4 linked regions of the Bombyx mori genome follow. The protein of the gene in region 4 interacts with the protein of the main gene of each other region in a biochemical or structural test. Links are inferred from orthologs where the notes say so. Each region holds a gene or a part of one and is shown on either strand. Other genes may lie near its edges.

Region 1 (8,432 bases), on a different chromosome or scaffold from region 4:
ATCAAACACACTCATTCGGCTACGCTGTCATAGCCCTCTCAGCTTAGGTAGGAAAAAAAACCGAACACAGGATAGGCCATGACCATTCTGCCAAATTGGGAAGATAAAAAAAATTATGGTGACGTTTGAAGTTTGGGACCGTTGTAAAATACAATTAAAACAGAAATTACATCGACCGCCTTGAATTACTAAACATAGAAAATCATATTATTTTATATTTTATTTTTTCACTTTAGTACGTTGACTCTGGTGCATAAAACAATGAGAGACTGATATTGCATTTAATATTAAGTTTTGGCAATACAATATAATTAAGTAAGTAAAATAAAATCAAAGTAAAGTAGAATCTCGCCTATTAAATGCTTTTATTGAAGATTACAATTTGTTGTTAACATATCAACATTTTTTTGTAATTATCCTAATATGTTACTCAAACAAGCGCTTGTGAATATACGTCACGTTATATTCTAATTTCCATAAGAACGTTGATACGAACTATATTGACATTAAAAGTGAGTGAGTATTGACATTCGCACTGGGGTGAGGAAGTAAGAAAATTTAGTACGAATTTAACGTGTTTTTTAAACTATCCATTTATAATAGAAGCCAGGTGAGGATATGTCAATTGAAAAGTACCATCGAGTTCAAAATCTATTCTCAAAAACCGGCTTCGTAAAAACATGGTAATAATAGTAACGTAGCAGGCATTGAATGCATTGCAGGGGTAGCTGATTCACTGGGGATCAACACTCAGGTATATTTCCAACCAATCGTTTTCTTTTTAACAGCGGATGTGAATGTATATTCCTACGTAGTTAAGTCAATTAATACATCGCTGCAAACTTTTTTCTTGAGCTTTTAATCAACGTTTCATTTATAAACTGTCTACATTTTCTTGAATAAAGTGGTTGTCTTACAAGAATATTCAGGAAAAATTACTTGTCCCTTATTGACCCTTTGCAATTTTATTATTGTTTTTAATTTATTCTTATCAGTGTGCAATACGCGTTATATTCTACAGTTAAATAATGCTCGTATCTTATTCCTATGAATCAACGAATACTAGTTGTCGAATACTAAAGGTCTACACGTAAATATATCCAAAATAATATAAAATTTAAATTATATTTACAAAAAGGCTTACTCGCCTTTTTAGAATCTTACGAATTACGGTTTAAAATTACCACTGCCTGCTGGATACATAATACAATACAAATGCTTAGATTAAGCTAAACTAGAGCATACTCCTTTCACTTCGAAGCAAACAATACGCGTTGTGTGTTTCACTTATTTAATTTCATTCAAAAATACTTTGTCTTATTTGAAATTGAATAGTTCATGTCACAATGGTAGACGATCGATATGACGAGATATCCAATGAGCTGCAACCACATAATTACCGATGTTAACAAAAAAATCGTATGAAATTTTCCAAGCCATCAGGAAAACAAATAACAAATGATTCATTTGACATTATGTATAGCTCATGTTATCAATATATATAAAAATGAATTGCTGTTCGTTAGTCTCGCTAAAACTCGAGAACGGCTGGACCGATTTGGCTAATTTTGGTCTTGAATTATTTGTGGAAGTCCAGAGATGGTTTAAAAGGTAGATAATTAAGAAAATGGTCGTAATTTTCCCTTTGATGTGTCCCCCGTCGGTCGGATTACTTTAGTTTGTTTTAAATTTATTTTATACAAAAGTTTAGGTCTTTTATTTATTGATTGCGGCACTACGAAGTCTGCCGGGTCAGATAGTAAGAAATAAAATTAATATCAGCATGTGCCCGCCCACATGGAAAACAAATAATACTGATTAGAATCATCCCTTAAAAACTTTTACATACTCACAGGGTTATACTGCAGTGCGGTAACGTAAGCCTGCACAGCTTGCTCCATATCGCCGGCGGCAACGAGAGCCGCAGCCAAGTTGATGTATCCATCGATGAAGTCCGGCTTCAAACGGACAGCGTGACGATAGTTCTCCAGCGCCTCCTGAAGCTGCCCGCGTTCTTTGTAAACATTGCCCAAGTTGCTGCACGAAAAATTAAAGACAAATTATGATCATTACAAACAGGCTAGTGATCCTCGTGTATGCACCATAGGATCCTGTTTCGATTAATTATCGGAGTCAGTGTGATTATTAAATATGTTAGGTATTGGAATACTAGATATACCACAACCCGAAATGATGATCACGACCTCTCTACTAAGAGTGCAAATGATTGAGAAAATAATACCCTGAGACTATTGAATATTAAATTTAAGTTATACAGTTCAACATTATTCAGCATGTGTTGTAGTTTGAATTGATTATGAGCCGGGTGTCTGATTTTATAAACAATTCTGTTTTAAAATATATGAATGTTCTTGAATGTACTTATGACAAAAACTTGTTAGTTAAAAAGCATGATGAGGTAGCTTAAAAAAAAAGAAGACACCATTTTAACCCAAATACATTGTTCATTTAAAAATCTCCTAATTTTCAGTAGTTTTAAAACAATAGACAATTTTAATTTATAATAACATTGACACAGAAGATCTAGAAATTATTACTAGGTAGTAGGTACTAGGTACCTTACAGTATTACAAAATGTTTTAGATTTTTCATTTGTGAATTAGTGAATTATTTTCTCAGCCTTATACGTCTTGATTATGAAAACAGGAGATTAAACCGTACCAGTAGTTTTAATAATTATTGTAAAAATTGAAACATGTTTCCACATAGAAAATGAGTTATTTTTGTTAATCAACTAATTAGATTTATTGCAGTGAATGTTAATGATTTAAGCAATTAATTAATCAAGGTCATACACCACATTTGTCCTAAATAAGTAGTTGCTCCAAATTTTTAATGTGCTGTTTGTGCCAAATTTACTTTATTTTGACAAAAAAGTATTCAAAATACTAAATATTTTTAGCGAAAACTGTCCGTAAACTTTCTTATAACAAAAAATGTATGTATTGTATGTATCCTTAATAAGCAATACATAATTTTTGTATTAACCAAATGAAATAAACTACATCATGCGCACATCGCTGGATTTAACTTATTTTATTGTATAAATCTTTATTGTATAAACGATTTTTATTATTAGCACTTTCATTTAGTCCATTTTTATTATTAATAAAATGTTAAGGTAAAAGTGAAGTGAAATGAAGCAAATTAGAAATTCAATATTTCCAACTTGTATTTAATTTAAACTTTCTATACATTACAATATCATATATGTTATAGTTAAAGTATGATCTAAATAACTTTCACAGCCAGACAGAGACACGTGTCTTGTCTCTCAAAGCTGTCATTACAATACACTGCAAACAGTTATTTTTATAAACTATTTTATAAATTATAGGAATGGTCACAAATCACTTGGACTTGTTCCAAATTGATTCTCGAAATACAGAACAACTGATTATACAGTAATAAAGGTTTCATTTTTTTAAGAATTCAAGACAAACCTTTAAATTATAGGAGAAATACATAAAAGTATATAGTGCTCTTCCTCACCTGTAGGCTTCAGCCAACAAAGGATTCTGTTTGATCGCCAATGTGGAAAAATGAGCAGACTTGTCCAGTCTCCGACACTGGAAATGTATAGACGAGAGTAGGAGTAGCACCCCTGTGTTTGTACTGTCCTGGCGCCATAACTGCATACAGTGATGTTCTGCACTTTCATAATCACCAGCTTGATATTCTCGATGTGCTAATTCAAGTAAGCCTAAGGCAAAATTAAAAGTAAATAAATACCCAGTATAAGAGATCTTATTATCAATTGTTTGTGGGTTTGGCAAGTAACTATTTCCCATCAATGTAGAAGAAGTGATTTAGTGTTTTATTTGTTTCTATAATTCAGTGGCTTCATTACCTCTCTGAAAGCATTTAGGCTAAAATAATAGTTTTACATTACATATATTGAACAGGACAATACAGTTATTGTAGGAAGTAATTGAAACCTACATTGATGAAAGGAAAGCAAACAGCTATTCAATTTATATAGAGATTTAGAAAATACAATCCAAAAAGTTTATTTTTATCTAAATTTTGGAGTCTTACTCTACCTATCTACTGCTCAAAATATACTAAGATTTCAATAAACTAATCTCAATGAGGGCAACAAAGCCTTTTAATGAAACAAAGAGGCAGAGGTAAATTCATGTAACTAAACATGTCAAATCATCCCAGATACTTCATTAGACAAAGGATTCTTCTACAAGTTTATAATAGGCAGCAATTTAATCACCAAAAAAGCAATGAGAACCTAAAATATTTCTGGTCATTTTAGTCATTGATGAATAGCGCGTCGGGCTTTTTTCAAAGGATTTCACTTAAATCTTAGAAACATAAATTAATATTATAAATACGTGAGTAATCCGAATCAGTAAATGAATGCATCGCTATTTTAAACAAGACGTGTACAAAAAATTCCAAGAGACATTACTCTAACATGACATACCATACTATGTAGGCACCAATTTGCAAATTTTGCAAATTTCCAGACAAAATGTAATACTTAATATTAACTAATTCAATATTAAACCTTTCCAGAGACTTACCCACAGTAGATATTTGTTGTAAGTCCGACATTTTCAATATCACAGCATTTGCAGGCACACCGACGATTTGCTGAGCTTGGGGTTGCGTCGTGACAGACTGTGGCACTGCTACATTTGCTTGCGGTTGCATTTTTGTTATCATCGTTCAATTTGAAGACTGATCACAGGCACACATATAAATCACTAAACATTTGTAAGTAATAAATAGTTACTGATTTTAATCTCCATGTATAATCTAGCTAAATTTACTTCATAAGTGCAAACTGCAAATCCCAACGACGCGACGGATAGCGGAAACATCCTATAACTTTTTAATTGTCGAATTGTCAATATGATGTCAATAATGGAACAAACATACTACTATAGTCTTTATGGCATTGAGATACGAATAAAATTGGATAAATGATTTAAGCGGATGCTCAGTTTCTTCAGATTTTTTTAGTACGGCAATCGTCGTAGTGCATGTTTTTTTCAATGGCAAAAATAATAGTAATGCCACGCCAAGTCCTTGTTATAGACACTCATACAAAGTGATGTCAACTTTAAAAAAATCCCATTTACTTCAAAAAATGTAAACTAGAAGCTGACATTAATGGCATGCAAGATTCTTATCTAACTGTTTACTTAAATTGCTTCAATATTTTCTGATCCTCAATTAAATAATGTGTATGGAGCAAAACTATCGTAGTTAAATATTGAAACCGGCATGTTAGAAACCAAAAAATCATTATTTTAGACTTATTTTTTATCAATGTATTTGAATTAGACTTACCATACTATTTAAACCTCGGTGTTTTTTAACGGTAAATGCATCATTCAGAACTTTTCAGAGACAAATTATCACGATTATGAACAATTAATGCCAGCGATTAGTTATACAACATGAATTGTCTACCTACTGCCAGTGGATAAATAATTCTTCTAACCTCTATAATTCAGTACTGTTGTTCACAATTATTCATGGTAGTAAAATTCTCAAATTGCAATTTTTTAAGTTATACTTCTTTAGGCGCGTTATGAAAAATTGATGAGAGTGAAATTTTATTATGCGCGCGCACCGTGACACAATATTAACAGAAATGAAGTTGCCCGCTAAATCGCTCATTACAATACGACCGACGTAACTTGGCGAGTCTGAATATAGCCGCAGGTGAACTTTAGCGCATGTACACTCGTAAAAAAAGTGTTATTAGCATTCATTTTTTAGTAATATAAATGACAAAAGTATTATTATCATACTAAATATTATTAAATTATTAACGTTAAATATTTATTATTAATTATTCATCTTTAAAAAAAAATTAATAAAAATAAAGTATAGCTTCTTACGCGCGTACATAAGTACACGCACCCTTTTCTTTTTAGTGCATTATCATCTTTATTACACCGTCTTTTCCCTATATCATTAAGACTATTAACTGGGGTATGTTAGATTAGGTACTTTTACAAAACTAAATTAGCTAAATTAAACAAAAAATAGTTTTCTAGTAATAGTAATAGCAGTAATAATAATAGTTAATTTGATTTCTTTTATTGCCTATATGGGTGAACAAGTTTACGGCCCACCTAGTATTCAGCAGTTACTTGAACTTATAGACATAAAAAACGTAAAAGCCGCCATGCACCTTTATATGCGAGTTGTAGTCTGAGTTCTATACAACAACCACTGTCCTACTTTTCAAAATAGAACTTATTGAGACCTCGAGGTAAAAATAATTAAATAATTAATTTATTCTATCGTCTACCAGTGACTGTCATAGACACCTTAATCACATTACTTAAATCTTTTATCCTCAATCTATGGAGGCTAGAGGTAAGGAGAATCATCTTATATGGGAGAAGCTTGAAAAAGTGTCCCACTTTCAGTACTAGATAACAGTTCAAAAATGCTCCAAAATGGCGCTAGCATAGGCACCAGGTATGATATGAATTGAGCAGTTGTTAACTGATTGAAGTGTGCTGAGTTAGGAAATTTAATATATTTAATGACTAGAGTAGTTAGTGACAGTGTAATATACAAGACCTCACATGTTTACATAGTCCAAACTAATTTCGTTAATATAAGCTAAAATTATTGCTGTGGTAAAACGTGGAGACATCGATTGCATTTTTTTATCAGCTTAGATAAAATACTTTTTGTGATTTTGTAGTGCTTACAGTTCTTTCGTCTTTTTTTATTTCTCTATCTTATTCTAATAACTTTCAGCGCTTTTTTTAAAATTTACCCGGTTGCTACTGTAGCGCCACCCTTATTTAGCAGATTTTAACGGACACTTTTTCATACCAGACGATTCTCCTTACCTCTGCCCTCCATACCTCAATCTTAGGCACACAAGCGATGTATGTCTTCGCTTGGGAGACACAAACATATTTTTCGAAATGCTGGGATTGGAAGAGTTCATGGATTATGTAGCTACCAGCTGTCATTGCAGAACTGGAACTCCAACATGATCACATCACTCTATTCTGGGCACATTACTTTGAGGTTTAGTAGCTTTAAGTGGGAGACATTTTATTGACACACAATCACAACACATTTTACATCGCACATTAACTTTATTAGTAAAAAAGGAGGACGGATTCATTTCATCACTAATATGATTATTTCGTTATTCTAGACAAATTTCATTCCAAATAAGATAGCATATATCCAACTTCAGTCAGGTCTTGTGGTATTGATTCGTGGTAGCAGATATACAACTCTCTCGGTTCAGGTTCACTGAAGATACGTCTGTAAATCAAAATATGCGTTCATTTTTAAGTTCTACAAATTGAAGTTTTTTTCCTCCATTTTCACTCATAATGAAACATAAATTTTAATGTAACTTGCTGTATTGTTTGTATTCACGTAAATTGGTCGAGACGAAAATAATCGAAGCTTTTAAAAATAATGTTGTTTTTTTATTCAATAAAAAATAAGATTGCTTGTAAAAAGCTTTTATATAGTCTTTGCTGAAATAAGGCATTATTTAATACGATCTTTAAAAAGCCCCACTTACCCCACAACCCAAAATTTAAATATTTCATTGGTTTTCCTGCTGGAAGTGCATTGATTCAATACATCCTGTGGAACTTGAAATAGCATTCCATATTCTTTAACTGCAACCAGAATTTTGTTTAATGGATTCACTGGAGCGTGATTCCTTTTGAACCTGTAATTTGAAATACAGGGTGGCCCATAAGTCCTTTGATATGAAAAAAAAATTATTAAAATAAAACTAATTACATTATGAATTAAATTTTTATTTACATAAAAAGCTTAAAAAACGGGAATTATTTTTTGAAAATAACATCTCCTAAATGTAATCCGTTGCGATCACGGCACTCTTGCAAACGACGTCTAAAATTGTCGATGACTGCGCGGCACGTCACTGCTGAAATGCTTGTCATTTCTCTGCGGATGTTTTCTTTTAGGGCCTCAATTGACCGCGGGTTTGTGTCGTATACTTTAGCCTTAAGGTAGCCCCACAAAAAAAAATCCATCGGGGTCAGATCTGGACTACGTGGAGGCCAGGAAATGTCTCCTCTCTTAGAGATAACTTTGCCAGGAAAAAGTTGACGGATAACGGGCATAGCAGTGTTAGAGGTGTGAGAAGTGGCCCCATCCTGTTGAAACCACGTCCTGGCATTAAAGCCTGAAAAGTTTTGCAATTCTGGTATGAAAAACTCTTCGATCATAGCCACATATCGCTCCGACGTAACAGTAACTGCGCGCCCTCTGCCATCCTCAAAGAAGTAAGGCCCTAGGATACCATGGGCTGACATAGCGGCCCAAACAGTCACTTTCGGACTATGTAAGGGCTTCTGATGCTTAAGTTTTGGATTGATGGGGCTCCAATAGCGGCAATTTTGTTTACTAACATGCCCGTTAAG
Region 2 (7,452 bases), on a different chromosome or scaffold from region 4:
ACACATCGTCTATGCTACCAACATCAACGACGGACAACCACATACATTCCTCCTTTCATACATCTTACAAAACATATTAATAATTTATACAATTCACAATACCTTGCACATGTGCATGCCTAAAGTAACATACATCATCTTTCATACGTCAACTTCCAAAAGAACACTTTAACTCACATAAGTAAACATACCACAGCCACTGTCTGTATTTATAATACCGAATAGGAAAATGCTCTAACTTTCAAGATTATCATGGAAAGATATAGCCAGGCATACATAATTAGTTATGTGATATATGAAACGATAAGTGCATTTTTGTGTGAATACGTCATAGATACTATCAATTATTACTTAAATTTGTTTAAATATCTACGAAGTTTCGTTTTCATAAATTATTAGGACACAATAGTACTTAATAACTGCAATTTAACATTTAGCGCGTTTAACAATAAGAACATACTCTCTCATAAGACTAATATTTAACATGCTGACCGAAACGTACAAACTGACGATGTATGCACTTATCGATTTATTTACTAAATGGACTTTATAATTTGCCTGACTTCAAAAATTGATTTTACCAGCAGTATGTTGTTTCAAGCTGCGTTTCAATGCTGTGGTCGGTAATTCCAAATCTGTGAAAAACAATTGATTGAGACAAAAATATATTTATTAAATATATGTTTTTAAGGCTATGTGTCTGAAATCGTCGTGGCCTAAATGATAAGACCTCCGGTGCATTCGTATCTAGTGATGCACCGGATTCCGAATCTCTCAGGCAAGTACCAATTTTTGTAATGAAATAAGTACTTAACAAATGTTGAGATTGTCTTCCACGGTGAAGAAATAGCATCGTGTAGTAAAAAGAAAACTCGCAAAATTATAATTTGCGTCATTACTGGTAGTAGAACGTCTTATGAGTCCTCACGGGTAGGTATCACCACCCCGCCTATGTGAAGCAGTAATGCGTTTCGGTCTGAAGGGTGGGGCAGCTGTTGATACTATATACCTTATACTGAGACCTTAGAACTTGTATCTCAAGATGGGTGGCGCATTAACGTCGTAGATGTCTATGGGCTCCAGTAACCAATTAACACCAGAGGGGCTATGAGCTCGTCCACCCATCTAAGCAACATAAAAAAAAGAAATATCGCATGAATCCCACCCAATTGAAGCTAAATTTTGTCTACAACGGCGTTATTATTGGTTTATTTTACGCGAAACCTACTGGACCTATCTCGAATTTCGATGAGTTTTGATGGTTAATTGTGAAATATTTCTCTTTGTAGTCAAAGTCAGATAATTTTGAAATTTAATGCTGGCGGAACCACATGGTTGCTCAAACCATCAATTATAAAAATCCTCGGTTCCTGGCTTTTTTAATTATATGAGCGGAAGAGTTCTGGGCCTCAGATGTATAGAAACTTATGACTGTTTATGACCCATATAAGCAATAAAAAAAAACCAGGATTTTAGAGATTTGTTAGAAAAATATGATGCATTGAAAATATTATATAAGGCTTTGATGATTTTAGAATGAGAAAACCGTTTAAAGCAATATTTCGATTGAAAAAAATCTAACACCGTGAATAAAGGTTTTTACTTCAAATATTTTATTAGGTTGAATATTTAAAGTAAAACTACACGTTTGTTGTGTTCGGTTATAAAAATTTAATCTGTGATAGACCAAGTTTGATTCAGCACAAATTCGATCAATACGAAGTTCCTAAGCATACTCTCAATAAGTCATCTATATAGTTCTCGTACAAAACTCTGACGGACCCGGGGGCGTTATTATTAATTTAAAAGTTCTGATCCAATCCGCACTGGTTGGCAAGTACCACTATTCTGCCTATTTTTGTCATGAATCAAACAGACGTTTTGTTTCGTAAAGTATGATAATTACCAACCACGATTTACTCTGCACTACCTTTGGTTGATTGGTAGAGAATGCCTTTGGTATTAAGTTCGCCAATGTAAATTTTATATGAAGTGTAATAAATCTATTATACATATAAATAAAATTGGTGTGCCTGTTTGTAATATTGAAATAGCCGCTTTTTACTACATGCATAGGAAATACGGTACATAGGTACACCAAAATAACATTTTTTTTACAATTTTGTCTGTCTGTTTGTTCCGGCTAATCTCTGGAACAGCTGGACCGATTTTGACGTGACTTTCACTGATAAGTTAGCTGATGATATAAGGAGTAACTTAGGCTACTTTTTTTAGACTAGCTTCGCCTCGCGGCGTCACCCGTGGTGCGTCAATAACCGCGGGTTACATCGCGGGACTCAGCTATCAATAATAAAATTTAATGTTTCCGAAGCGAAGCGAGGGCGGGTCGCTAGTAAATAAATAATTCTAATGTCTGTGGAAGTTCGGTCTAAGTATTATTATTTTTTTCATTTATGGCCTGGTATCTAGACCTTTAGGCCATTCGGTCTAAGTATTGAAAGTGAAATAATTACCAGCTGGCAAGAGGGAGGGTCTGCTTGACGCGACGCATCTCTTTGGTCGCCCAATTGGCGAGCGTCTTGGTGCGCGCCACGCGGGAGCGCCGCGCCACCTGCAGCATGTCGGTGAGCGGCTTGGTGTCGAGCATGGGCAGCACGTGCGCCCCGAACGCGTTAGTCAAGTCGCCCATGAGCCCCGATATGACCGCCATCTGGGCGTCGGTGCGGTCCTCTTCGTTCGCAACCTGAATCATGAAGTTAACGATCGCCGGCACGTGCGGCTCGACGATAGCGATGTCCGGTCGTACCTGTTTATAAATAATAATATAAAAATGAATTGCTGTTCGTTAGTCTCGCTAAAACTCAAGAACGGCTGGACCGATTTTGCTTATTTTGGTCTTAAATTATTTGTGGAAGTCCAGAGAAGGTTTAAAAGGTAGATAAATATGAAAATGCTCGGAATTATATAAAAATAATAATTTTGTTGTTCCTTTGATGTGTCCCCCGTCGGACGGATTCCTTTTGTTTGTTTTAAATTTATTTTATACAAAAGCTTAGGTCTTTTATTTATCGATTGAGGCACTACGAAGTCTGCCGGGTCAGCTAGTAAATAATAATTTTAAGGAAGCTGTATTTAAAGTTTAAGTAAGCATATATATTATTTGTTTAATAAATTTCACCAGCCAAATTAATCGAAGAATATCAATACCAATTAATTATTTTCTTGTTATTTGTTTGTTGTACATATTTTTGTTTGCTGATTTTATGGTGAAGCACCAGGCATCTACTTATAGCCTCGGAGTGATTTATTTTTTACATAAATATTGGTGGATATTATTCTCCAAGTCAGGATCACTAATTTGACAAGGAAATTTAGCTTAGAAAATTTCTAGAACCACAATCTATGTATGGCGGCAATCCGAAAACTCCCATGTTGAATGGAAGAAAATGTTTATTTGTGATAAATTGTGTGTAGTTACAATACAACACCTTCAAAGCCAATAATAGATTTTAGTCTAGGTATCACATTATGACTTTATTTTTACAGATTAAGCAATTATCGTAGGAACATATCTACAAATATTCTACATTTCCAATGAACATAATATTATAATCTCAACAATATTCAAGAAACTATAGTAACATACCTGAGAACCTACACCTTTAAGGCCTTGAATGATTCCAGTGTATGCTTCCAGAACGCTTTCGCGGAGTTCACCCAAATATTCAACCATATCATAGTCGTTATGGTCCACTTGAGCATTACTAGCCTGCAATCATTTCATTATTAAATGTTATCAGACAGACAATATTATAAAATTCGTTAACTTGGTATCCCAATATATGTAACATGTCCTCATTTAGTACAGGATTGATTTACCCAGGACAAACTACTGCACTTTATAGCTAAGCTTTCGACCCTTTATGAACAGACATACCTGCAATAGCATTTGCATGACGACATCAAAATATTTTCCAAAATCGCTACCAATACTCAAAGCAATGTCTCCAAATACAGATAATATTTCAGGCTTCACTGATCGGTGAATTGATGGATCACCTAAATTCTCCAATAACAAAACTATTATCTCATCACAATAGGGTGCCATCTGCAAATAAAATAAATAACGAAAAAATTACAATTGCTGACAGATAATAAATTGATAATAAAGTTTGTCAAATAGATTTTACTGACCTTATTTTTCAAGGCGCGACAGATATCACCAGTCAATCCTACAGCTGCAATGCAAACTTGGTACTCCTGGTGGTTTTTAAGACCAGTATAAAGGTATTTTTTGAATGTATCCATGTATTTTAAAAACTCTTCTCCTAAGACTTCAACAAGAGTAGAAACAGCCATCAGAGCATCCTCCTGAACACTGCCTGCTTTTCCAGCATTACTTGCAAATACAGTTAACAAAGCAGTCATTATTGTGTCTGATATTTGAGGAGCATCATCAGGAGTAACTTTTTTTAGAACCGAATGCAAGGTAGCACATAATAAACTTTGGAGGTCGTTAAATTGAGAACGGTCAGCTTGACTAGAAACATGTATTTCCATTTGTAGAACTTGTTGGAGTCTCTCAAGTATAACCATAGTGGTCTTTTGGACTGTGACATAACAGTCACTGGGCGAATTTTTGACCATTTCCATTAGAGCTTCATATGCAGCTGATCTCAAATTATGTTGAGCAGCATCTTGACGATCCGTTGTTTCAAGTAATCTCTGAACGATGAAATCAAAATAATTTGACATGCAATATGTCTTTGGCTGATTAGAATCACCCCCATCCGCTGCCTCGTATGCTGCTTCTGCCAAACCGGTGAATGCCCAACAAACATTAGCTGCAACTCTAGGTTCAGCTTTTAAACCATTTACAAGACTCTCTAATAATGGTTTCAAATATGTTTCATTGATAGCAGCTTCAGGGACAATTTCACAAATTCTACCAAATGTCCAAGCAGCGGTGTCCCTTACAGCTATACTAGAATCATACATCGCTTCAATCAAAGTTGGCATGGCATTTTCCACTAATGGTTTCAGAGTGTTAGCTCCAAGACCACCAAGAATTGAACCAAATGCCATTAGAGCAGCTTCTCTGTATCGCCAATTTTCACTTTTAATGTTACAATTAATAAACGGTAACACATGCGGTACAATTTCGTCTTCACAGCAATTTGACAAAAGCATAAGACAAACAGAAGCAGCCTTTGACGGATTCCATTCCAATTCATCATCAGAATCATCTTGTTTTGTTAGTTTTTGCATCAAGACAGGTGCAAGGTATTGAAGTGCCCCTCTTGCATAGAATCGTGAAGTTCTAGTTGGAGGTCGACCTGTGAATTTGAAGTAATAATGAATTTAGAAAGTTTATACTTAGTCATTTTTTTAAACACAACAGGAGAATAGAAGTATCACTTTCATACCTGCTTCAACTGCTTCAGCTTCTTCAATTGCGAGATCTATTTCCTCATCGCTCACATTGGACCAGAATTCAATACCTTGTAATGAAATCTCATCAATATCAGATTTCATAGCCTCAAGTGTTATGGGGAATAGAGCTTGTCCCATGTAAGGTTCCATATGTTGATAATAAAGTGATAAAATTTTCACCTGAAGATAATTTTGTTTGATTAAAAACTATTTTTTAAATTAATTAATACAGTAATTGTTTAAATTTAATCATGTCAATAGCTGGTATCCCAAAAAATAAGTCTTAGCTTTGTTATTCATGTTAATATTATAAATTTATAACTGAGTAAATGTAATATTAATATAAATTGTAATTCATACACTTTCATATCTAACTAATCAATCATTAATTATGAAATTTTACATAAATGCTGTCAAGAGTACAGAAAAGGACATAAAAGGATACTATCCACAAAAAAGTAATATTCCTGAGGTATATAATTTTTTCTACTTTCATGGGAAGAAAGCTAATGTGGTAGCTAAGGTGGTATTTTATTTTAATTTTAAATATAATACTTGGATTCACATTATATATTTATAAAACTTACTAAGCATTGCAAAGCAGCAACGCTGATTCTCATGTCACTAGACTGTGTGGCTTCACAGACAACCTCCATAATAAAGTTTCTTTCATTTTCTTTTTCAAAGTTCGCTCTGGTGAATTCTAGAGAGTTGAGCAAAGCTTGAGTAGCAGCTAGTCGAACATGATTACTGGGTTCAGTTGACCTCATGCCATGTATGATGGCCGTAAGAATTTGATTACTTCTTTCTGTTAATACTTCAGCATCAATATCCTGACAAATGTAGCCTAGAAGAATAAGAAATACATCAGTATTGTTAAAGAGATTAATAGCAATTTGCCTTTAGTTATAAAGCACAATTAAAACTGTAATTTTTTTTTTGTTTATTTATATAACATAATTTGTCATAGCTCTTTTAACTATCAAATGTTCATTCAGTTACCAATAGCCTCCAAAGTCGCTTCCTTTTTGAGTTCAGTAGATTGGACATGAACAACATTTTCTACAAGAATTGGTATTAGATCATTCCATTGTCCTACTGGGAGCTCAGCTACTGCCACATACGCCACACACTGTGCTGCTGAACTTGGACGACTATTCTCTGTTCCTATAGCAGCTAATATCTAAAAAAGAAACTAGTATTAAAATTAAATATAACTTGGTTACCTACACCTGATGGAACTTATCAGATTCTCCACCTTCATTAGTTCAAGCTCTATACTATAACTATACCTGAGACCTTAGAACTTGTATCTCAAGATGGGTGGCGTAATTACGTTTTAGATGTCTTGTGTGTTTGTATTTATTAGTGTTGTGTTAAATTATATTTATTACTAATTTTAATTTTAATCTAAGTAAGACATACAGGGAATTGCTATTTAGACAATAATTGAGCAATTTAGCTTAGAGATAATATTATATATATTTTTATTATTAAGTAACTTATTAGTGAATTTTTCAATGTTTCACTTGTTTCTTGTTTGCAATATTGCCTTACATTTTCTTTTATATAAAGTCGAACATCTTCTGCCAAAGCCAGCCATCTTTGTTGATATTGTTGTTTAAGTGTAGGATCTTTAGAAGTGAGATGATTTTTCAATTGCAAACCAGCTGCCATCCTAGCCACTTGACTGTTACCACCTTGGAGAAGGACATCGGACAACATTTTGATGAATGTTGTGAAATTTGTGGTGGCAGCATGGTCGAGGTATCTAACTGCTGCTTCCAATTCATTTCGATCTGTAAGCAATAACCATAATCTAAGTACATAATTTACAAAGTGAAGTACCCCAAATTTAACTATGTCTGTATACTGATATGTCACATGAAAACAAAAGGTGTTAGAGAATCAAATTTGTGAGGTCTTTTTTGTATTTTATTACCACTGAAACCAGGCGAGAATATGGGCCACCTAATGGTGAGTAGTCACGATCACTAATCCAAGTCATCCATGCCAAGGGAACATCAAAACCAATTGATTATTTAGTACCACTACTTC
Region 3 (8,557 bases), on a different chromosome or scaffold from region 4:
GATTTTTATGATTAAAATAGTAATATACGATTCAAAAATGTTGATTTTGATTTTTTATGATTTTTTTTTACGATCTGGGAAGCTACGATATGACTGGTTGTGTTTTTTTTATTATTATCTTAACGGAACAGTGCTAACTCTAGGAATTGTCTACAAAACACGTTCATTTAAACGAGGCCAAAACGGTCTTGCCATGTCTTGTTTGATCTCTGCTCTGTAGTACTTTACTCACTACATAGTCATTTTCTACTGTGTCATTTTAGCAGTTTAAAAATACGATACCATATTTTTTACATGCAAAATAAACTAACCAAATCCGCTCCGTTCAGAGTAAAGTGTACGTATTTTTAAGATATTGTTCTTATTTTAACAAACGCTTTTTGATAAGTAATAGTAATTTTACGATGTTTGTAGCCAGTTGAAATAATGTGAACCTCGATTTTTTTATGTATCGTAGTTTCGACACGGAAAATAAGAATAATATATGTGTTACGTAACAAATTTTTATATATAAACAAGGACGAAGAAAAGAAAAGCTAAAATAAAAAAAAATGTCCCTAGAACACAGACCATAAACATTTTCAGGCTATTACTTTTATAACATGGCAACCTTTCATACCACACATCTGTGGTTAATTCAAAACTGCTAAAGACTTACGGGAATACAAAAATTAAATCAATAAAGACACGTTTGTGGCCAGCAAAGCAACGAAAGTATCACCTGCAACCTAGTCATTCGCTTAGACAAGTCGGCCATCGTGGCGTGGTGGCCTGTGTGTCGTTTGTAGTGCATGCTAAAAACTTGTTAAGTGTTCGTAGCCTCTAAGGATTTAATGGAAGAAGCGAGTCTTATAATTCTGAGATCGGTAAAAAATGTACCTGTTTTCAGTGGTTCTTTTTGTTATTTTTTTTTTTGACTATTTATAATATATTGATTGTCTTAGCATCTATTTTCGTTTTTTTTTTTCTTGATACACTGTACTGTGGCCAAAAGCAATAACATCCGGTGGTAAATTCAACGAAGCACTGCTCTTGCTAGGGCTAGTGTTAGCAATGTCTTCAGACTGAGCCCTGTGAGCTTACCTACACTTTGGGTGAAGCTCGCATAACGCTTCGAGGTAACTAGCAAAGTAAGGCAAAAAAGTGGCCAACAATGTTAAGTACTACTGAGACTAACTTACACTGAAGTCTCAAGAACATTATAATAAAGCTCAACTAAATCCGATGAAATATCCACAAACGCATTGCAGTCGAGATAATCTTTAACCGGTAAGGAAAGAGCTTTTTTTTTTGGGGTGTATATTTCTTCAGGGTTTCGACAAAGTGTTCTTGGAAATAATGTTATATCACAGATTAACCGGGAGAAAGAGAACAGTTTCGTAGAATTAAGCTTAGCATCGATGATTAGATAATGTTGACATGAGATTATATTGTAAAAATCTGCTCTTTTATAGCTGGGATGGAAAAACCAGCTTGTCAACACCTAAGCCTAGTGCTATGTGGTTACAGAAGATCGAACATCACATGTATGCCATCCTTAAAATAGAAGGGTTTGGAGACAAGTGATGGCATCGCCCGAAACCCGCAGAACACATTAACTTAATGATTGTTAGTCTTAATAATATTAAGACTACTACTTTTCAACCGTAACAGCAGGGCACGTGAAATTGTATTAAAGGTGTCTAAACAACGTCATTTCGGATCCTCCCGATCCACTAACGGTGCTTCTAGGTATCCCAAGCACCGACCAACATTCTCGTCGAACCCGTCGCTTGCCACGAAAGGCTCGGCGAGTAACCGGCGAGTTAACCCACAGACAGCCCACTAAGTTTCTTCGCCGGATCTTCTCAGTGGGTCGCGTTTCCGATCCGGTGGTAGATTCTGCGAAGCGCGGCTCTTGCTAGGGTTTGTGTTAGCAACGTCATCAGGTTTGAGCCCCGTGAACTCACTTACTAATTCGGCGAATCTAGAATAACCCCTCGTGGTTACTAGAATAGGTAGGAAAAAATTTATTATAAACAAGACCGTGTAGAAAATTATAATGTATTTGTTATAAAATGTTTACATATAATGCAAAGAGTTCTCGTAGCAACGTTAAATAAAGCACAAAAAGATGCCAAATTTAGTAACAGCTATTCACAATTTTTGATAGCACTTATATACCTAGATAACCAAACAGACTTGAGAAGCATGATGAAACTAGTGTTTGTATGTTATTGATATTTAAAAGTATAATTGACAACTCGAAGAATGGCGTAACCCAAAATCGCATTATCTCCAAGGGTAACAATAATGAAAGCGGTTTTTCATTTTTATAATTTGTTCGTTTACAAACATGTAACAATTTATCTCCATTTTCTGTGTAATGAAAACCAAATTCTCATTTTAGATTACCCTGTTCGATCACTAAATCGATCATTATCATAATTTCATAATCGTCTAGTCCTTTCAATTTCATAAATTCTTTGACGAAATAGATACAAGAAAAATATAATGTGTACCAAATGTCAAGAATTCTGATTCAACAGTTGTATGTTATATCAAATTTCAAGTTAAGCATTTCTTCGTGTTGTGTCTGTCCTTGTGATCTAAGCTATGTCATGGATGCCTAAACGGAAAATGTCGTGCTGAACATAAAATGAATCTCCGAGTGGCTTCAACACGAACGTTTGCATGTATAGGTGTGGAGGATCTTCGTCACACTGAAAATAAAAAATAAACAATTTAAAATTAGAATCCTGTAGTATTACAAAATTTACGTATAGTCAGTTAAGGAATAATGCATCTAGACCCTGAAAACTTTTTGGATCTGTTGTTGTTGTCTACAGATTATACAGAACCTTACGAAACTTTGCTATATTACAAATTCTTTCCAAATGACATGAGAACCCTTCTTAATTTTTTGAATAGAAAACGATAACATAATTATTAAAGTTTATTAACAGATACATAGGTATGTATAAAGCAGCGCTTCCTAAGTGTTTTTCGTTTTCGTACCTTTTAATAAAACTTTACATTTGAGTATCCACCCATACACTGATAACCTCATACCTACTCCTAAAAATTTGTCTCCTTTCTCGTCACAGACACAAACTCAACCAGGCAATATACAAACGAATGTGTGGCATTTTACCAACCCAACACTCAGCCTGGCATCTCTAAATAATTGTTGTAAGGATTCATATTAAATAACTTTAAAATATAGCGCTACAAAGGAATCTTTCATTCATAAGGAAACCAGCCAGTAGAACGGGCTCCAAGGTTTTTGCCTTACATCAAAGAAGTTAGAGAAAGTATTGGCAATATATTTTGGTGTGCGTAAAGAAAACTACTAGTACTACTACAAGACTAAAATGCAGTTTTACTTTGCAGGATCCAGGTATTTATAAACAGGATTTTAAATGTGCACTCTCAGATATAGATTTATAGGTTACAGTTAATGAGCACATTGTAGACATTAAGAGTTATTGAATACACAAGCTCGCAGTTTATTAACATGGGCTAGACAGCTCTATTAACCATTCAGTTAAATTTGAATCTAAATACTGACCAAAGAAAGCTAGTTACACATATAGTATATGAGGTCATGAAAATAAAATTTAAAATACCTTAATTTTACAGAGAAAATGATTGGCTCTTAATTAACACTTAGGATTCTCGTGACTACGAAAACCCAAGTCAAACAAACTGCCAGAGCTTAAGATAGTTGTTTGTGTGTGAAAAGACATCACTGTCAAGAAATATTTTAGAGAAAGCTAGCAGTTAGAAAAATATTCAAAGGTAGACAAAAAACACCTTATATATACATTACCACAAAAATATACTGTATTTCAAATGACGTAAATAAAAATTTTTTTAAATAAAGATGATATTAAATGATAAAATTAATTTATAGTATTTACTATAAACAACTTTTACTTTATATTATGTGATTCACCTGTTTAGGTAAATAAAGCAATTATATTTTTAATTAAACACATAAAGTTAAATGGTGATTTATATTTACTATTTACCTTCAATCTTCCAAGGACATTAATTAAAACGCCTCCATCAAACATTGGCTGGGAATCCACAGCAGTTACTATTCTAGTGATTTTTTGAAAAGTCAAACTCTGTAATATTAATTTTCATTTTTATTAAAAATAAGGTTATTTCTAAAGTGATAGACCTAACGACAATTTTTCCACAATTCTACCTTTGCTGCTCTACCACAATAGATGCCTTCTGGTCAAAAACAGCAACATGGATTATATAGCTTCTTAGTAGCAGTAATTTTATCAGATACAGTTAGATACAGTACAGACTTTGATCTCATGTCTCAACAATAAAGGTGGTAACATTAAATCTGTAATGCCTATAGACTCCACTATTACGACCAGGATGGCCTTAACACAGAGATATAACATAATAACAATAACTACACTATTATTGTTACAAGCACAAATTATGTATATATGTAGGAAAAAAATGTTACAAAGTAGGTATAAAAAAAGTTATACAAAGAACTACTGAGGAAACCAGAATGAAAATTTTAGTGTATACAAAAAAAAATTCAGTTAAATAACAACTAAACAAAACCTGTAAATATAAGCACTGTTCCTAAATACATAACTGTACTTTTGATTGTGTTAGAGAAGATTTTTAGTGTAATATCTTCAAAATTGGTAAAATTCTTATTTACTCACATTTAATTTTTCCATAATTTTAACAGCACCCTGCAGTTGTACTCCCTCAAAGGTCATGAATGAAGTTTCAACCTGCAAGACAAGTCATTATTAATAACTTAACAAGCAATAGTCCTGAAACAACTATGTTTAAATGTTTATACAACATTGTTAAAAAAGGGGTATAAAGTAAAATTTATCGCAATGTCCAGTTGACACCAATTTTTCACCCTAGTGGGCATCAACAAATACATCACTTAAAAGATCTAGAATAAAATTGTACTAACACATGGTAACACAATTCTAAAAAGGACATATTTAAATTACACTTAAAATAGAGGCTTTGTATCGTTTCTTCAGTCTAAATTCTACGTAATTGCTTTATATGAGAAGCCGAGTTTCGCAGTCGGTAAAACCAGACGTTAACCTCTAAACAAAATTTAAATTGTAAAATACTATTTTCAAAATGTGAGAGAAGGGAAGATAACCATAATATAATAAAAATAACGGTACAGTAATAATACTCACATTGTACATATTAACAAGATTTGCCCGTTGAGCCGGATCATCGAACAATGTGTAATATTGTTGCACAAAACCTTTACCGATTGCATCGTACTGCGGATTGAGCGCCATTTAGATTAAGATGTGTCTATTTGTCACTGTAAAAGATTGATATCTTTGAATATACTAAAAAATTGAATAGGAAGGTGTTCACTTAACTTTATTTAAATATTAGGCGTCTACACACCACCAACAAAAAGCCCAATTCCAGCCGAAAAATTCAAGATGTGACGAACTGACGAAAAGGGGCTTGAAAATTTATTCTGCTTGTTGACAGTTATGACATATTTTTTTTTAATGATTCTGAATGTAGTGTCTAAGAGGTATAAGATCATACAACACTACTATTTTCTACTAAAGCTGAGCTGTTTCCACTATTATGGATTAAAAGTATTAAAATCTAATGCTCTGACGTACTTTTTAGGAAAATCCTGTAATATATTTTTCAATTGTTATTAGAAAATAAGTCAAACTTGATCCACGTAATTCTTCAGATTAAAAGTACATTTCTTCTTCTTCGTCGCTTCCTCATTACTGTGGATCATGAGTCGTGACCACCTTGGTCTAATTGCACTAGTTTCCTACAATGCTGCCTGCATTTGGCCTGCTGAATGGCACCCGGAACGCTGGTGTTTGTGGCTTCCTTGGCAATGTCCGTCCATCTGGTTGGCAATCTTCCTCGAGCTCTCTTTCCTTCCACGTGACCTACAATTATTATTTTTTCCAATTTGTCAAGATTTCGTCAGGTCACGTGTCCGAAGTACTTGAGGAGATGCTGCATACAGATCGTAGATAGACAGGTCTTGACGTTTAGCTCCGAGAGAATTGATACATTTGTTCGGCGCTCCGTCCATGATACGACCAACATTTTGCGCCAACATCACATTTCAAATGCGTCAATTTTCAATCGGATACGGGCCTTGAGGGTCCACGTCTCAGAAGCGTACGAGAGTATGGAGAAGATAAGGGTTCTCATGAGCTTTATCTTAGTTTTTTGTTTATGTTGCGATTTCTCCAAATCTTCATAAATTTGATTCAATTCTTAAAAAAAAAACCAAGACTATTTCATTACAGCTTTCAGTATTTTTTAAATTGTAAAAAACAATCAAAAGTCACCGTCCTGTGAGACCTTTTGGCGGGAACGCGAAGAGCGAAGTTGTGTGAATTGTTTTAATTTGTCTATTTAGTATTTCTTTAGGTTTAAATGTGTAATAACGGTGGTTAATTATGAACTATTTAGTATTTATGAATATGCACAAATGTGGGAAAATGAAATAAAACTGCTGGGCGCAGCTTCTCGGGATCTACTGAAAAGTTCACTGAAAAGTCTTAATAAATATCTAACCACTATTTTACTGAGATTATATTTTATCCCATATCATCTCATCTTATTTCATTTAATTTCATCTCTATTAATGAATATCTCCAGTTAATCAACTTAAATTCATTTAGCTTCATATCATTTCCATGAAAGAGAATCTATAATTTATGAATAAACATATCGTATGATACCTTCGTCTTTATACTTGGAAAAATGGAATTACTACATACTAGGTAGGTACGGTACTACTTACTACTGTCAAGTACCGTACTGTCACTGTCATTTCTGTTTACTTTTCAAATTAACTATTGCAAATATTAGTCGCCGTAGGTACATAGGTAGGTAAATCATTTAGTTTTGGGTACAAACTATTGAAGTTTAATGACATCGCTGACTAAAAAATCAAATTAATATCTATAATGTATACTAAATGAAATATACTGTATAGCTGTGAAAGTCGATTTGAGTAAAAAACTGTAATAATTGTAGAATATTACAGAATACAATAGAAACAGAACAAGCTCACACATAAACTTAACACTCAGAAAATCAATTTAGTTCTACAGAAGCATGTCTCTAGCTGACGAATTACTTGCTGATTTAGAAGAAAATGACGATGGTGAACTCGAAGCTGCTATCGAGAGCAAAACCAAAGAAGAATACGACTTTGCAGTTCCATATCCCGTCTTACCTAAAGAAGAAGAAATCAAGAATGTCTCGATAAGAGAACTCGCGAAACTAAGATATTCTGATCGTCTGAAACGTGTATGTATTTAATAAAGTTTCTTGAAGAACAGTTTAAATATAAATTACAATTTTTCATGTAAACAACTTTTAGGTTATGAGTGAAATAGAATGTAATGCTGGAAATAACAGAAATAAGGTTGAAGTTGCTGGCTTAATGGAGTCTGACCCTGAGTATCAACTGATTGTGGAAGCAAATAATGTTGCTGTTGAAATTGATGGTGAAATAGGTATGCATTCCAATCTCCATTTTTCATGTGTTGATTTGTTTATTAAAACAGTTTCAGAGAATTGAACTTTTATGATTGAACGTAGTGTTAATAGTTCTCTTTTCATGAAATTATTATCTTGGTTGTCTAATTATTACTGCTTACAATATTAAAGTCAAGAAATGCAAATTTTCAGCTATTATTCACAGATTTGTCCGTGACAAATATCAGAAACGGTTTCCTGAATTGGAATCTCTAATCATCACTCCATTGGAATACATAAGGACAGTGAAAGAACTTGGCAATGATTTGGACAGGGCTAAGAATAATGAAATATTACAGAGTTTTCTTACTCAGGCCACTATTATGATTGTTTCTGTTACTGCATCTACAACTCAAGGGTTAGCTTCTTATTTGTTTTCTATTTGTGGTCTATTTTGTTTGCTAATATAAATCAATGCACTCACTCTGAGAAACATCGTGCCACATGTCATTGCAACGCGAGAGCATTGGTATCGCAGAATTCGACTGATACATGACCACAACCACTCTGTTAAGACTGTACGACTAGGAAGAAGAAAGAATAAATGTAAATAAAAATGTAGAAATGCAACATTTCAAATTCATTTAAATTATTATAGTGGACTAGAGTACAAAACAGGGACTTTGAAGATTTATTTTGATGAACATTTTGTGTAAAATAGTTACTTATTAAACAACTCAATCATTTGACAGGAAATTACTAAGCCAAATTGAACTAGAAGAAATCAATGAGGCCTGTGATATGGCAAGTGAGCTGAACAATTTCAAATCGCAAATATATGAGTATGTTGAAAGTAGAATGACTTTTATTGCACCAAACATAACTGCCATTGTTGGTAAGTGATACATTCTGTTGCCTATAATTACTAATATAAATTCTATTTAACACTCCCAAAACGATTAGTGGTAACAATTGTGCAATCACCCTTAGCCAACTGCAATTATTCCCCTCATCATATAATTTCCAAAATAGCAGAGTATTAGAAGGACCAAATGCCTCTTTCTGCATTTTT
Region 4 (7,760 bases):
ACAAATCTATAACGAGTGAACATCACAAATTTTTCTTTGGCGATGGGATTCGACTGTAGCTCTATGTGTCGTAATCAGTTATTTATAGAATTAGACGCAGTCATAAAGGACAATGCCCATTTTCTATGGGCGTTTGGGCCCCTAAAAAAAGTTGTCCTGTCATGATGGTTTTAACTTAATTTGATAGACAAAGAAATATCGTTTCATATTCAGAAAACGATTTTATATTCTCACCCAGGCTGAGAAATCTGTTTTTTTCTGCAGCTAAAATTAAGTTGTTAATTGTTTTCTTCGAAATCAATAATCGCTCTCATAATTATTTACAGTATTAAATAAGTTAATTGTGGTTAATGTTGCTAGAAATAAGCCCTTACGTACATTTTATTTATATCCTCATAATAATGATAAAATGAAATGAAAATCCGGAAGCCGGCAACGATATTGTTGTTTTGTTTTAAAATTCACCAATAAGCAGGCAAAGAGCGTAGCCTATACAGCCTAGTCTGTCGAAGTTATATATTTTTTATGTCAATAAAAAGCCGGTGTATCCATAGATTATACACTTAATATGGTGTATCTCTTTTTATTGCTTTTTGGGAGTTTTGACGTCAACTCGACGAATATCACATTGACTGAGCATGAGTTTACGCAGACCTTTTATACACAATATTACAAATACAAATAATACAAATTACACAATAAACTATTAAAAAACATTAAAATAAAAATTCAAGTGACGCTTCACTCGGGTTGCTGCCAACACTCTCTGATCATATATAATAAGAATAGAGTAATGGTAGGCCATTGATATTTTTACTAATGGAATCATTAATATCTAAAAATATTAAATAATTCATGGTTTTAAGTAATAATTATTATTACAATAAATATTGAATTGAACAAAAATAAACTAAGAAGCCTGTGAATTATAAGCATTAGCTAATTTTTTTTAATTTGTTGTCCAAGTTACAAACAACTCTTTCGTTTGACAGCATATAGGTTTGCTATAAGGCTGTATGGGCTAAGCCCTTTGCCTATTGGCGAATTTAAAAACTATGGCATGGATAGCTTTGAGATGTTATCAATTAAGTAATTAATTTTTTTGGAAAACAATGCCAGGTTGAAAGAAATGTTGATACATAAACTAAACAACGTGAAAAAATAAGGCATAGTTTTTCAAGTACAAATAGTTTTGACATAAAGTTGGCCCACTTTTGGGCATTGTCCTTTGTATTTCACGTTCTCTCGCAGTCATCAAAGATGCTTGGAAAATAGCTTCGGGCTTCGAGAGCGGTCCACTTCAATCGGATTTAATATTTATTTGAATCCAATCAACATTCCTAAGTCTTTGGTTTATTTGTGAGACGATAGTCAGTCTGTCAAAATGGGCCAGCAAAAATAGAGTAGAGGGAAATAAATCGATGGACTTGATAACAACAACAAAAAAACTATATAGGTACTTAATATTTTTTATTTTTATTTATTGAATCATTTTGTTGCCATAACAAAAACATTTTAACGTCTTTAATAAATGACACATTCATTTTTAAATACTATTTGAGTGTTTCATTTCTGGCCTCGTCACTGGCCAGTGTGTTGAGTGCGAGTTTTTAACATTCTCGATAGCGTAAAAGTTAACTCGAATTTGTATGCAATTGGAACAGCGCCCTTAGCGGCAAACGTAGGCAAACGTTCCAGCTCCATACAGATTTGAGCTAACTTTTACGCGATCGAGAACGTTAAAAAACTCACATTAAGCACACTAATCATCTATATAATCAAATTATGTTCGTTTGTTTGCTTGGGTAACAACATATTACGTGATTTGAATTAAAATTCTTTGAACCCATGTTACTCAATTTTCTAAAATATAATGTATAGTAATAATGCAGTTTGATCGCGAACTTGCATTTGATAGTACGAAAGACAAGGGATTCATGAAAATATTTGATTCACATTTTCATCCTCATAGTACATTTAGGTACCGTCGTAATGTGAAGTGTTTTTGGACACATAGACATGCATCATAAATAGTATAATGAGGAATGTAAATAAATTATACGTGCATTTAAATTATAATTGAATTCTACTCTAAGCATTTAAAAGTCCAACATTGTACTGTATTCGTTAGTTAATCATACATTATTCACAACTTTAAGTACTGCAACAGTAAAACTAATTTTGTATTACAAATATTCTTCTATTACAGTTTACAAACATTCTGAGTACTCGTAGGCGTGTTTAACACGTTAATTGCCTTGTAGGTCACCGGTGTCCTACGCGGCGCACTAAAGAAATTATGTCGATTTGCCTTCTTTTGTTTTTTAATGTTTTAGTATTTTTTATGAATAGGTTAATTCTCAGTATCTTCGGATTGGTCTTTCCCAGAATCTACTAGATATTCTGGCGCCTTAAGAAGATCTAAGAGAGAAATCGCCATAATTACTTCAGTGCGTCGCGTAGGGCACCGGTGACCTACATATCAGTCAACGTGTTAATTATTAACAATGACATCCAGAAACAATCGACAAAAATCACAAAACTGAACCAACCGTATACATATTATAAAAACAGATTAATTGTAAGTCAATTGAAATGATCTCTCGTTATCCTTCCTGAGCGTGTCGTGAACGCTCTTCAATTGATCCAGCTTATTGGATATCTGAGCTATGGAGTTGTCTATCCAATGCATCGACGACATGTGAGCGTTTAGTATGCGACCGATTTGGACAATCTGAAAAAGAAAAAGTTTGAGTTATTCGAGTAATTTTAATATGCATAAGTTCAATACGCATAAGTAGAGATTCAACTTCTTTTCGATATTCAAAATACCGGGTACTATTCAATCTAAAAGCTCAAAAATGTATTAACTTTTATAGTGGAATGTATTAATTTTTTTATACGCTTTTATTAGCTTCAGACGTATCTATGTAAGTATGTAACGGAATCTTTGAACATGATTTTGACCCCCTTCAAAACGTCGGATTAACTCGAATTTTGCGATACTTATTAAGGACCGATGACAACACAATATTTAAAAAAAAAGTTGAAATAATTGAAATTCCAACTTAAAAATGAAAAATAAAAATAATAGTAGTTTAAAAAAACGAAAAAATACGCTTTTATAGAAAATTCAACAAGCGTATTTTTTAGTTTTTTAAACTACTGTTTATTCTTTTACTTAGAGCAAATTTTTATGAATAACTATCTGACCCGGCAGACTTCATAGTGCCTCAATCGAGAAATAAAAGACCTAAACTTTTGTATAAAATAAACTTAAAACAAACAAAAGGAATCCGTCGGGGACACATCAAAGGAAAAACAAAATTATTCCGAGCATTTTCATATTTATCCAACCTTTTAAACCTTTTAAGCCTTCTCTGGGCTTTCACAAGGAATTCAAGACCAAAAATTAGCCAAATAGGTCCAGCTGTTCTCGAGTTTTAGCGAGACTAACGACAGCAATTCATTTTTATATATATAGATAAGTGGCCCTAAGCTACCAGCAATAAGACAGTAGCGGCTCGTAACATTTAACGTAGAAATAATAAGAAGCTTTCATAAAAAGTTCTTGAAAATCTGTTTTAAGGAAGCATAATTTCATTTTTAATCAAAACAATCACTTACTGGATCGTTGCCATCTTGACTTCTGTTTGTCTCATTGAGATGCTCTATAACTTCCTTCAAATCTTCGGACATCTGATGTAGTTGAGAATCCAAATTTTCGGCTAGTGAATACCTAGTAACGAAATGAAATAAAATTATTATTGAAGTGAAAACTTCTTTAGAATCGTTGTGATTTCAAACCGGATGCAACGGAAAAAACGACAGGTAAGAGACACAAATACAAAAATGTGTAGGATGAAGCCAGGAAAGAATGAGACAGAAATATACATACTATTTAATACAACGCCATCTGTGAGATTTCTTAATACTAATGTGTGTATGAAAGCTCTTGTAGTGAATTTTAATTTAGGATTATACGTGAAATTAAAATATCAATTCACAGAGGGCGCTACCTTACAATTATTTACTAATGACAAAATTTTACATATACTTAAGACGTTTAGGATAATTGTATTTTAATTTTGGAAGGTTTCACTTCTACCACGTGTGAATTGCACACATTTTAATTATTTTTTTTGTAGTGTGAATGCCTCAGTATACAGCTGATTTTTAAAATCTGCATCATTAGGTGTGACGTCATTTGAGGACATGATAATTTTTTTATGGCTTAGATGGGTGGACGAGCTCACGGCCCACCTGGTGTTTAGTGATTACCGGAGCCCATAGACATCTACAACGTAAATGCCGCCACCCACCTTGAGATAAGAGTTGTAAGGTCTCAGTATAGTTACAACGGCTGCCCCACCCTTCAAACCGAAACGCATTACTGCTTCACGGCAGAAATAGGCGGGGTGGTGGTACCATCCCGTGCGGACTCACAAGAGGTCCTATCACCAGTAAAACCTGATAGACGATTATTTCATTATACATAATTGTTGTTTATAATCATGATTATATAATAATATCTTTCTTCTGTAATTGAGATTCATATTTATATGCAAAAAAAAAAAAACACTAACATATGTTCTCTTTCCGGATCTTTGATACGGTCATTGTTCTCTTGCAGTAACTGTTTCTCCATCGGTCCTAATAGATCTTCCAATTCTTTTTGTTGTGCCAGTACAAAGTCTAATTCATGTTCCAGTGATTGCTGTTCGTTTTTAACGGTCTCGACTGCTTCGTTTAGTTCTACGATCTGTGGAAAAAGCATTACTTGTAAAAGAGTCATAATCCTGAATATTTTAAAGTAAAAGCAGAATATTCTCGGTTGCTTCTCTCTTATATTTGAACTAGCTGACCCAGCAGACTTCGTAGTGCCTCAATCGATAAATAAAATACTTAAACTAGTATAAAATAAACTTAAACAAAAGGAATCCATCCGACGGGGGACACATCAAAGGGAAAACAAAATTATTATCTGTGGACTTCAATAAATAATTCAAGACCAAAATTAGCCAAATCGGTCCAGCCGTTCTCGAGTTTTAGCGAGACTAACGAACAGCAATTCAATTTTATATATAATAGTATAGTATAAATATTAAAAAAATGTGATCATACCTTCTCTCCGTTCGCTATTAGTAATGTGTCCCAAGCATTAATCTGGGTAGCTTGGTTGATGAACGTCCGTTCCTGCTCTTCCAATTCTAAGGTCCATTTGTTGATATTCTCCTCTAATTGTGCAAATGTTATCGAAGTTATCGGTTGAGGTGGAACTGGTGCAGCTGCAGTACTAAAAATTTAAAATGATGCCATCATATACCCAGACAAAACTGATATTTGATACATTCCAAATTTTTTCGTTGTCTAATATGGTATGAATTCCATCTATGCTTTGCAGCAAATCTACTTAATTATCAGATGTTTTTATGTCTCAATATTGTAGCATAAGGAATCATTAGATTCATTTAAGACCAAGTCCGTTCCATTCCAAAGTGGATGTAAATAGCAGTGCCATTTTTTTTATTGCATTGAACATTGGAATGAGCTCAAGCTTCGCAGCAGAACTAAGCAGGTTGAAGGTCCTTGCCTATACAAGCTTACAATATAATCTAACACAAAATATTACTTTTGTATAAGCGCAATATGATCTGACACAAAACAGTGTGCTTAGTTCGAGGTTTTTAACTTTCTCGATAGTGTAAAAGTTAGGTCATGTTTGTATGGAGTGGGATCGTTTGCATACGTTTGTGGCTAGGGGCGCTGTTCCGACTGCATACAAAACTGGCTTAACTTTTACGCTATCGAGAACGTTAAGAAACTCTCACTAAGCACACTGTACTTTTTATAAGCTAGTGTTAATCGACTCACGTTGTTGCAGTCAAAGTGGGCATTATTGAAGTCGAAGCTGTGGTTTTTCCCAGTGCCGTTATGCCAGACGGGGTGGTAGTGGATGCTGAAATTTAACGAAATTTACAAACTTTAATAATGACATTGACAGCGATATCTGACACTGATTACAATGACATTTTAAAACGCACAAAGGTTAATAACACTTTCTTGTCAAATCTCACGCCCTAACGCCGTGCTAGCGCCATCAAAGTATCCTTGGACAATGTTTGGTGAATAAACTAGAGATTTTATGGTATTTAACTATATCATCATAGCAAAAGTGTATATACTTATATAAGTACCATATAATTAAAACGAATCTGATTTCGAAAGAACATAACTAATATTTTCAGATTATTCAGTGCAAGTAAGGTAATAATTGATCAGAACCCGATAAGAAATGAGAATATCGACATATTCTTAGCAAACGGGCAGGTACCACCACCCTGCTTATTTCTGCTGTGAAGCAGTAATGCGTTTCGGTTTGAAGGGTGGGGCAGCCGTTGTAACTGTACTGAGACTTTAGAACTCATATCTCAAGGTAGCGGCATTTACGTTGTAGATATCTATGGGGTCCAGTAACCACTTAAAAGCAGGTGGGCTGTGAGCTCGTCCACCAAACTAAGCAATAAAAAAAATAAGAAGGGGAAAATGTTATCAATTGGCTAAAAGAGTTAGGGAAGACCATGGCATCCACTGGTATTGTATTGGTAGCACGCAATATATTAGAAAAAAATGACGATTTGAAAGGTTATTGTAATTTCTACCTCCATTTATACGTTTCCTTTAAATAAAAATAATTTATCAAGAAACTGAAATCTCCGAAAAAAGATCTTCACAAAAGTTACCCAAGAACTTGTGGAAGTCCGAAAATCGCACTAATCAATACAATAAATAAAAAAATACTTTTAATTAGTTTATCATCTGCATGACTTACGTGCGGAAGAAACAGCGGTCGTGGTAACAGTTTTCGTTCCGAAGGTTAATCCGGCTGATGTACCAGTTCCAAAATTGATTCCGGTGCTCGGTGGCTGAGTAGTGGCCGAGCTTACCCCGAAACTAAGCGCGGTAGCTTGGGTACTTGGCGCGGAGCTGACACCAAAACTAAGCCCAGTCGCTTGCGTACTTGGCGCGGAACTGACACCAAATCCCAGACCAGAGGTTTGCGTACTTGGCGTTGAACTCACACCAAAACTAAGCCCTGTCGTTTGTGTACTCGGCGTGGAACTGACGCCAAAACTAAGCCCTGTTGTTTGTGTACTTGGTGTGGAGCTGACACCAAAACTAAGCCCGGCTGCCTGAGTACTAGGTGCTGAGCTTACACCGAAACTAAGCCCCGAAGTCGTTGCGGCCGCTGCCGTACTCGTTCCAAAGCTTAACCCGGTTGTAGCAGCCGTGCCAAAACCAAGCCCGGTCGCTGAGCCCTGAGAAGTCTGCCCCCCGAAACTAAGCCCAGTGGAAGGTTGAGTTACGGTGGTCTGTGTTGTCGGTGCGCCGAAACTTAGTGTTGCACTCTGTGTAGTTGTGCCGAATCCAACGCCGGTGCCAAAATTAAGACCACTGGTCGCACTGGTGGATGGTGTACTGAAACTAAGCCCGGTCGTGGTTTGACCTGGAGACGTGCCAAAAGCTACACCAGGTGCGGCTGTAGTAGTACCGAAGCTTGGTATGCTACTTTGAGCTGTGGTAGTGAAATTCGTTCCACCCAAATTAAGCCCAGATGCTGGCTGAGATGTGTTGCCACCGAAACTGTAACTTGGTGCGGGTGTTACTGCAACAAAAAAATAATAATTTAAATTGTAAGTGACCTGTATATAAATAAGCTTTGCAATATATTGAGAAGTACCCAAGAAAAGTGATACAAG

The links.
Region 1: of the proteins of nuclear pore glycoprotein p62 (region 4) and UDP-N-acetylglucosamine--peptide N-acetylglucosaminyltransferase 110 kDa subunit, one has a biochemical effect on the other in vitro, tested with the Homo sapiens proteins (2 studies listed by BioGRID). The link is inferred for Bombyx mori from reciprocal best matches to the Homo sapiens genes NUP62 and OGT.
Region 2: the proteins of nuclear pore glycoprotein p62 (region 4) and importin subunit beta-1 form a complex in vitro, tested with the Homo sapiens proteins (2 studies listed by BioGRID). The link is inferred for Bombyx mori from reciprocal best matches to the Homo sapiens genes NUP62 and KPNB1.
Region 3: the proteins of nuclear pore glycoprotein p62 (region 4) and probable nuclear transport factor 2 form a complex in vitro, tested with the Homo sapiens proteins (3 studies listed by BioGRID). The link is inferred for Bombyx mori from reciprocal best matches to the Homo sapiens genes NUP62 and NUTF2.

Annotation. Positions count from the first base shown.
Region 1 is NC_085129.1:5,334,526-5,342,957, forward strand, and holds the start of UDP-N-acetylglucosamine--peptide N-acetylglucosaminyltransferase 110 kDa subunit, read right to left. Parts: upstream 5,047-8,432; 5' UTR 4,702-5,046; coding exon 4,560-4,701; intron 3,725-4,559; coding exon 3,514-3,724; intron 2,038-3,513; coding exon 1,854-2,037; intron 1-1,853. Other genes in the region: protein inturned, read right to left, coding at 7,185-7,290, 7,559-7,711. UniProt on the Homo sapiens protein: Catalyzes the transfer of a single N-acetylglucosamine from UDP-GlcNAc to a serine or threonine residue in cytoplasmic and nuclear proteins resulting in their modification with a beta-linked N-acetylglucosamine (O-GlcNAc).
Region 2 is NC_085110.1:11,422,987-11,430,438, reverse strand, and holds the end of importin subunit beta-1, read right to left. Parts: intron 7,194-7,452; coding exon 6,952-7,193; intron 6,578-6,951; coding exon 6,397-6,577; intron 6,242-6,396; coding exon 5,982-6,241; intron 5,575-5,981; coding exon 5,388-5,574; intron 5,298-5,387; coding exon 4,156-5,297; intron 4,070-4,155; coding exon 3,899-4,069; intron 3,731-3,898; coding exon 3,608-3,730; intron 2,768-3,607; coding exon 2,471-2,767; downstream 1-2,470.
Region 3 is NC_085116.1:12,785,486-12,794,042, reverse strand, and holds probable nuclear transport factor 2, read right to left. Parts: upstream 5,559-8,557; 5' UTR 5,416-5,558; intron 5,327-5,415; 5' UTR 5,301-5,326; coding exon 5,193-5,300; intron 4,758-5,192; coding exon 4,686-4,757; intron 4,113-4,685; coding exon 4,014-4,112; intron 2,703-4,013; coding exon 2,589-2,702; 3' UTR 2,028-2,588; downstream 1-2,027. Other genes in the region: U4/U6 small nuclear ribonucleoprotein Prp31, read left to right, coding at 7,120-7,314, 7,388-7,523, 7,699-7,903, 8,238-8,380. UniProt on the Homo sapiens protein: Mediates the import of GDP-bound RAN from the cytoplasm into the nucleus which is essential for the function of RAN in cargo receptor-mediated nucleocytoplasmic transport.
Region 4 is NC_085134.1:6,723,350-6,731,109, reverse strand, and holds the end of nuclear pore glycoprotein p62, read right to left. Parts: intron 7,667-7,760; coding exon 6,833-7,666; intron 5,960-6,832; coding exon 5,875-5,959; intron 5,297-5,874; coding exon 5,125-5,296; intron 4,763-5,124; coding exon 4,587-4,762; intron 3,740-4,586; coding exon 3,628-3,739; intron 2,735-3,627; coding exon 2,576-2,734; 3' UTR 1,454-2,575; downstream 1-1,453. UniProt on the Homo sapiens protein: Essential component of the nuclear pore complex. The N-terminal is probably involved in nucleocytoplasmic transport.